2 linked regions of the Macaca fascicularis genome follow. The protein of the gene in region 2 purifies or fractionates together with the protein of the main gene of each other region. This does not show direct contact. Links are inferred from orthologs where the notes say so. Each region holds a gene or a part of one and is shown on either strand. Other genes may lie near its edges.

What was found. The genes of interacting proteins can lie anywhere in the genome.
Region 1: the proteins of RCCD1 (region 2) and KDM8 purify together in Homo sapiens (co-immunoprecipitation; 3 studies listed by BioGRID and IntAct, counting the BioPlex papers as one, with this or other methods). This does not show direct contact. The link is inferred for Macaca fascicularis from reciprocal best matches to the Homo sapiens genes RCCD1 and KDM8.

What each region holds. Positions count from the first base shown.
Region 1 is NC_088394.1:26,283,309-26,287,613, forward strand, and holds the start of KDM8 (bifunctional peptidase and arginyl-hydroxylase JMJD5), read left to right. Parts: upstream 1-1,505; 5' UTR 1,506-1,647; intron 1,648-1,974; exon of another isoform or gene 1,975-2,166; intron 2,167-4,305. UniProt on the Homo sapiens protein: Bifunctional enzyme that acts both as an endopeptidase and 2-oxoglutarate-dependent monooxygenase.
Region 2 is NC_088381.1:75,521,512-75,525,108, forward strand, and holds the end of RCCD1 (RCC1 domain-containing protein 1), read left to right. Parts: intron 1-1,313; coding exon of another isoform or gene 1,314-1,355; intron 1,356-1,681; coding exon of another isoform or gene 1,682-1,858; intron 1,859-2,941; coding exon of another isoform or gene 2,942-3,052; intron 3,053-3,126; coding exon of another isoform or gene 3,127-3,128; exon of another isoform or gene 3,129-3,202; coding exon 3,203-3,372; coding exon of another isoform or gene 3,373-3,388; 3' UTR 3,389-3,523; downstream 3,524-3,597. Other genes in the region: PRC1 (protein regulator of cytokinesis 1), read right to left, coding at 1,314-1,355, 1,682-1,858, 2,942-3,052. UniProt on the Homo sapiens protein: Plays a role in transcriptional repression of satellite repeats, possibly by regulating H3K36 methylation levels in centromeric regions together with KDM8.

The DNA of each region.
Region 1 (4,305 bases), on a different chromosome or scaffold from region 2:
CCGCAGTGATTAAACACCAAGGGAAGACTGTCTTCCCGAGTCCGTGATCGGAGCCGGAGTTTTGGGTCCATGGATAGAATGTGTCTCCTTTGCCTTTACTAGAGAGGAAAAAGAACTGGAATCGGAAGGACAGGGAGATTGAAGGGTAGCAAGAGAGGGAGATTGAAGGGTAGCAAGAAAGGCTGGAGAAGAGAGTGAAATTGGTGAGATGTTCCTTGGACTGGTTGGTCTGAGGACCTGAGGTCGTAGGTGGATCTCCTCACAGAGGAGAGGACGGGGGACCAGTCTCCCGAAGGAGTCCTTCTGACCCGGGTCTTCGGCACCAAATTTCACACATGTCCGTGTGAAGAGACCACCAAACAGGCTTTGTGTGAGCAACAAGGCTGTTTATTTCACCTGCGTGCAGGTGGACTGAGTACAAAAAGAGAGTCAGTGAAAGGAGATGGGGTGGGGCCATTTTATAGGATTTGGATAGGTAATGGAAAATTATAGTCAAAGGGGGTAGTTCTCTGGCCGGCAGGGGTGGGGGTCACAAGGTGCTCAGTGGGGGAGCTTCTGAGCCAGCAGAAGGAATTTCACGAGGTAATGTCATCAGTTAAGACAGGAACAGGTCATTTTCACTTCTTTTGTGATTCTTTAGTTACTTCAGACCATCTGGATGTATACACGCAGGCTTGGGCTCAGAGGACTGACAGTTTCCCTTTTCACTTGGTTCTCATCTTCTCTTGTGTTCCGCCATGTCAGACGTGCCTTTCACCTTCCACCATGATTGTGAGGCCTCCCCAGCCATGTGGAACTGTGAATCCATTAAACCCCTTTTTCTTTGTAAATTGCCCAGTTTCAGGTATGTCTTTGTATCAGCAGCGTGAAAGTGGATTAACATACTCCCTCAAATAGGGACGATCATGATCATTACAATAGCTACAATCTTAATATTTTTAAAGCACAGTACCTAGAATCCACTAATCTATGAACTGATCTTGAGCAAGCCTGTTTCCTACTCAGACCCCAAGCTCAGTATGAACATAACTTTCCATGCCTCTGTGCAATGCTGCAAAAGGCGGAGTCCATAGGAGAGTGTGCTCAAAACACAAAGTCCCAGTGACCCCGCACCACTCGACATCAAAGCAAACGTGGCAGGAGTGTGTCCTCTGGCCACTTGCCTTCTCACTCGAACAGACTGTGGATGTAGCACTTGCTCGTGGGTAATTGTGGATCTGACTTTCCAAAAGTACAAGTATGTGGCCACTTTAATCACTGAGCTTCAGTTTCGCTCTCTGTAAAATAGGGAGAACTAATAATCCTAGCTGCAGGGATTAAATGGTGGATGCAAACAGCCTTGTACGAAGTTGTTATCTGTGCAGAGGAAAAAGCGGGTGTCACTGGCATGGAAGGACCCGGAGGATACAGCCCAGCCTTTCTCTGTCTTGTCCATCCCCTGGTCTTTTAAACGCGAGTGGGGCGGGGCCACGGCATCGATCACTCGGCACTCCTCTAGGCACTGCGTCGTGATCAGACGAGCGGTGAGCGATCGATACTCCTATGCTAGCGTCTGACTCCTGGGGGGAGACAGCCGCGTCGTCGGACCAAAAGCAACGAGTAGTCGCCAGCCCAAAGGCGACTCGACACCGTCCCAGCTGAAGAGAGGTTAGTCTGAGCAACTCGAGAGCGGAGTCAGCTCCAGTTCCTCAGAAGTGGAGAGGCCGGGTTCAGAGGCATAGACCGCGCAGGCGTCATGTGAAGCAGCCAAGCCCGGCCTCGCGCGTGCGCCTTGGAAAGCCCGAGGCTTGCTCGAGTCGGCGCATGCGCTCTGAGCCGGCCTGCGCTGCTGGAGCGAGGGAAAGGCTCTGCGCGTGCGTAGTGCTCGTCTTCTGGCAGTGGTTTGGCGCATGCGTGAGGGCAGGCCCTTAAGGCCGGCTGCTGTGCGCTTTCGCGGTTCTAGGCGTCTAGTCGGTGTAGCCCTAGTGCGCCTGCGCGGATTGTATGCTCTGGTGTGTGTGTGTTCGCTGGTTTTGGGCAATCAGCCGCTGCCTCTGGGCTGCAAGGCCGGCTGGGAACGATTCAGCCGTCAGGTCCCAGATAAGAGCCGCGAGAAATGTAGCTCCGGGAAAGGCGCTGAGGAGGAAAGGGGGTCTGAGGCCTCGGGGGGCTCAAGGCTAATGCGGGGTACGTGGGACCCTGTAGGGCCTGGGTGTGTGGCTGCCCTAAGGAAAGGTGCTTGTAGCTCGGTAAGACTTAACGATGGGCATCGGTGCGTTTCCCAGCAACGGTAAGAATCGCCGTGCTCGGGAGGACACGGGAGCAAGCCCGGGGTCAGGAGGTGCGCGGGCGTTGGGGCCACACGGATGACCCAAACACAAGACTGTGTGCCCCTTCGTGAGCCAAAGGGATCCTTGTGCCATGAATAAAGCTCTCTGGAAAATTCCAAACTTCTCTGGGAAGTTTTACAAAGCTCTTGTTTTTGCACAAGTTTTGTGGAATACTGCCATAATAACATTGAAGAGATTAGAGAACTGGATTGCCTGTTCCAAGAAAGCCCGATGTAGGCTGACCTGTCCTGGAAGCCCCCTTTGAGAGGCTTTCTCATGACCAGCATGGTGCTCGCAGAGTGCCCACCCTGAGACCCTCTGCAAATCACAGTGAGGCTCTCGGAGAGGCCGTTCCACCCAGCCACCTTAAAGAATACTCAGGGAGGTGCTTTAGAGGAGTTGATGTTTAAAAATAATTTAAGGCTGGGCGCGGTGGCTCATGCCTGTAATCCCAACCCTTTGGGAGGCCGAGACAGGCCGGTCACTTCAGGTCAGGAGTTCACGAGACCAGCCTAGCCAACATGGCGCAACCCCGTCTCCACTAAAAATACAAAAATTAGCTGAGTGTGGTGGTGCACACCTGTAATCCCAGCTACTCGGGCGGCCGAGGCAGGAGAATTGCTTGAACCTAGGAAGCAGAGGTTGCAGTGAGCCGAGATTGGGGCACTGCATTCCAGCCAGGGTGAGAGGGGACTCCGTCTCAAAAAAAATAAAAATAATTTGAAAGAATCCTGGGATGGCAGGGCAGTGGTTTCCAAGAGGGATATATCCCGTAACCTACCAGGAACCCACTTTGCTAGTGTGCATAGTGAATTCTGTCTGGATGCTGAATTTATAAAGTCCAGGCCCGAGTCTTCAGACTGTTATATACAGGCTATACGTGGCTCCTTTTTGTTTAATACGGCCAACAAGAAGCCTTTTATAAGATTCATCTTAGTCTTGTTTATAAATCCAGGAGAAAAACCACTCTGAGAGGTTAGGACATGACAGCCTATATTCTGACCTTTGCAAGGTCATTTCATACACCAGCAGACAAGACTTTAAGGAGCATTTAGGGGCTGAATCAAGTCCACTCAAAAGCTGTTTTGTGCAACCCACGCTTGATCTTCCCCCGAAAGCTGTTCCAGGTGATGAGGCCAGTTCACAAACCAGGACATAAGACCACTCAAGCTGTTTCTATACCTGATCCCCCAGCCCCCCGCCAAAAAAAAAAAAAAAAGCCCTCCCTGGGCCGGGCATGCTGGCTCACGCCTGTAATCTGAACTTTGGGAGGCTGAGCCAGGCAGATCACCTGAGGTCAGGAGTTCAAGACCAGCCTGGGCAACATGGTGAACTCCCGTCGCCACTAAAAATAGAAAAATTAGCTGGGTGTGGTGGCAGGCGCCTGTAATCCCAGCTACTCAGGAGGCTGAGGCAGGGGAATCACTTGAACTCGGGAGGCAGAGGTTGCAGTGAGCCGAGATGGCACCATTGCACTCCAGCCTAGGTGACAGAGTGAGACTCTGTCTTTAAAAAAAAAAAAAAAAAAAAAAAAAAGCCTTCTCCAATCAACAAGAGGTCTTTGAAGGCCAATACCTGTTGAGCTCTGGGAGACTGACTTGTAAAGTGAAGATACGAGGCCACTCAGGCTTTTTCATATGGCCCACATTTGGGTTATGGTAGGTGTGAGTTTGCCTGGAATAACACCAGTTTTTTACTGATGCAGACATAAATATTAATAGCATCTTGGTCTGGATGACCCACGTACACCTGGCCACTAGAAGGCTATCTGTACAACTCCCAATAAACCCTTTTACGTGGAGCTCTTGAAGGCCAGTGTGTGGCACCACTCTCAAAGACTGCTTCACACATCTTTTTTCTTCTTGCAGATAACTGGCAAGTCACACATCTTATTCTCGACTCCCTTCTTTGGAAGCCTGTTTAGCCTTTTGTGTGTGTATTCTTTTTTTTTTTTTTTTTTTTTTTTTTTGGGAGGGACGGAGTCTTGCTCTGTCAC
Region 2 (3,597 bases):
ATGTGCACAATGAAATTGCCCCACACATTCTCAGAACATATCCCTGTCATTAAGTGAGGCATGACTCTACTTCACAAAGCTACTTTAGAGTCGTCAAGTAGGCAACAAGCTTTGGTCTCCTGAAGCCCTCTATAAAACAATGGGCCAGAACATACATCTACCAATCCCTGGGGCTGAGGCCTTGTAACCTGCTGGTGATTTGATCTCATGCTGGAGCACATGGTATAGCAGCAAAAGATAAAGCATGAATGGCCATTGAGAAAGACAGATATTAGCAGAGGTTAGTTTACCGGCTTTGGTGCTGCCTGGTGGAGTCTATCAGCCTTACCAACTCAAACCAGATGAACCTACCTAGGACTAGCCACAGAGATAGGCAGGTACATTTAAGCCTCAACTAGATAAAATGGGCCTTGGTTGAACAAGCAAAAAAGAGAAAGCTGGACCTCTGTCCAGCAGTCAGCCAGAGTGACACACACCCACTTTTATAGGTAGAAGCACCACCAGCCATGTAATTTGAAAAACTTGCTGGAGTAGGAAGCCAGTTTCAGTGATTAAAATTAGCTGCAGCCTTGGCCAACTGTTCCATTCTCCATCCCTGCAGCAATTAAGAGGGGAGGCAGGCTAGGGGTTTAACTCAACATCCCCTCAAGGGTGAGGGACATCCTCACCTCTTGCTAGTAAAATATTGAGAGAAGAGAAGATAGATTAAGTAAAAGGCAGTGTAATTAGGTGTTAGCAGATATAGAGTAGGATACTAGGAAGTGAAGAGCATTCTGGAAAAACTTGCTTCCAATGCTTCATCTATGCTTCAGTAGCTCAGTGTATGGAAAGAGGCAAAGGTGAGGAAATCGGCATTAGCTAGCTGAGAATAGACAGAGCTGGCAGTTGAGCCCTGAGGTTAGGAAGGCATATACTCCAGGAAATAATCAGCACACAGGCCAAGAGCCTCATTGTAGGCAGCACACAGCTGGGGCTCCCTTCCCCATGTGATGGGGCCTCTATTCTTTCCAGCTACTGCAGGCCTTTGATGTCACAATTGGGGAGGGTCAAGGTTTTCTGTTAAAACACGATTTAAAACTGCCTGACTTTAGGGGCTGAGAATCCAATTCAAGTCTGAACAAATTTTCTTATTAATCTGTTGTGAATGTAAATCAGATGTGTTTTTTTTGAGTCCATGATAGGAATTCCTGCTTCCTTTGTAACACTGCCGAGATTATTGGTTAGTGTAGCCCTGTGCCCAGATGAATGAAGCCAGCAGATGACAGATCAGTTTGGAAAAGGGACATGGGACGTGCAGGGGTTGCCATACAGACCTGAAGCCCAACAGTGGAACTGTCAGAGAGGGACGGATCCTTCTAAGAACAAAGAATTGAGACAATTACCAAGAACTCCACCAAGAGAGCACCAGGGCAGTGATAGAGGGGTTGCCTCCCGCAGCCAGGGAATGGTATATATTAAGCAGAAGGATCCAGGTTCAATGTCTAGTTGCTGCTGCCAACTTCCTTCCTATACAACCCCCCCTTAAATCACACCCACCCCGCCATGGTCAAAGCAGGAAAGGGATTCTCAGCCTCCAAGGTAGCTGCCCTAGCTAACAGCCTGGGTGCCCCTGGGAAGATACCCACTCTGCCCCAACTGTGTGCTCCCCAGAGACTGGTAGATATTAGAAAAGGTGAATTACCGCAAACTCAGAATAGGTGCTGGCAACAGAATTAATGCTGAAGTTGCGCTGGAGGGGGGCCGAGCCAGGGTACCCACCACTCAGGATGCTGCCGTTGAGCTCCAGGTTCTCCTTGTTGGCTCCATGCCTGCCAGTACGGGGTGTTTTCTTCCCTGAACAGGTGGAAGCAGCAACTGGCTGCAGAGAAAGGAAAGAGATCCATGTATCCTCCTTCTAATGAACGTGCACACACAATACCTGCACTGGTCAACGGCTGAGACTATCTTTATATTCATGTCTAGAATCCTATACTTTTTAGTTAAAAAAAATATATATATGGGGCTGGGTGTGGCTCACGCCTATAATCCCAACACTTTGGGAGGCCAAGGCAGGAGGATTGCTTGAGGCCACATGTTCAAGACCAGCCTGGGAAACATAACAGAACCCCATCTCTAGAAAAAAATTTTTTAAAATATGAATTCTTGATTTACAGAACACCTATCTTGTGCATAGTCTAATAAAATATTTGAAAGACTGTGCTTTACCACATACTTTTCAACATCTCTACTGAGTACTTGGCATGTCTAGTGATCTGGTTTCACTGGGCTGGAACCCACATGTAGGGGACCTAGCTCCATACCAGCTGAAGACTGGGCTTGGAATTGAGTCCACAGTGACCCTGCCTGATCTTCAGTTTCCCAGACATCCCAGTGCTTCTCATGATACCAGTGGGGCTCAGAGTGACTGTTCTCTTTTTTTGCACATTAATTTTGGACCATTATTTAATGGTGAGCTAGCTTATATCTGTCAACTCTCAGCATGTAAGTAAGAACCAGGCCGGGCGCGGTGGCTCACGCCTGTAATCCCAGCACTTTGGGAGGCCGAGGCGGGCGGATCACAAGGTCAGGAGATCGAGACCACGGTGAAACCCCGTCTCTACTAAAAATACAAAAAATTAGCCGGGCGCGGTGGCGGGCGCCTGTAGTCCCAGCTACTCAGGAGGCTGAGGCAGGAGAATGGCGTAAACCCAGGAGGCGGAGCTTGCAGCGAGCCGAGATCGCGCCACTGCACTCCAGCCTGGGCGACAGAGCGAGACTCCGTCTCAAAAAACAAAAAAAAAAAAACAAAACAAACAAACAAAAAAACCCAAAAAAAAAACAACAACAAAAAAAGTAAGAACCAAATCCAGGGATCTTAGAATCCAGAACAAGTAGGTGGGGCCTCTGGGTGAACAGGCTAGGGATGCATGTGAGGATGTGCTTAGACACAGGGCATACTAACCTTGCTGCCAGAAGGAGGAAGTCGAGACACAGGGGAGTGGTAGATTGTCCCTCCAAAGATAGGCCGAATGCTACTATTGGCCGTAGCATTGGACATGGTGGTAGTGTTCAGCTAGAGAGAACACACGGGTTACTTATGTGCAGTAACATCCTCAGCATTTCCAGCAACCCGTCTCTACCCTACAGAGAAATGACTATTGGAGGCAGTCCAGGGAAGATGGGTTTACATGGTGAAGGGCCTGCTGTGTCTAATACTGCATAGGTTTGAAGAAACCTGTGGAAAATTTTCAAAGCCTATTGATATCCAGCAAATGGAAATGTAAAATGGTACAACCACTGTGGCACAAGACATCTAGCATACGACCCAGCCATTCTACTCTCAGGTGTCTCTACCCAAAAGAAACGAAAGCAGACATCCATACAAAGACTTAGATGTAAATGTTCATAGCAGCTACCTGCAACAGCCAAAAGCTGGAAACAACCAAATACCCATCAGCAGGTAAGTGGACAAACTGTGGCAAATTCATACAGTGGAATGAATATTGATATGCAATAAAAAGGAGTGACCTTTTGATACATTCAACAACAGAGATGAATCTATACTAAATGAAAGAAGCCAGACAAAAAAGAATATATACTGCGGGATTCTATGTAAAA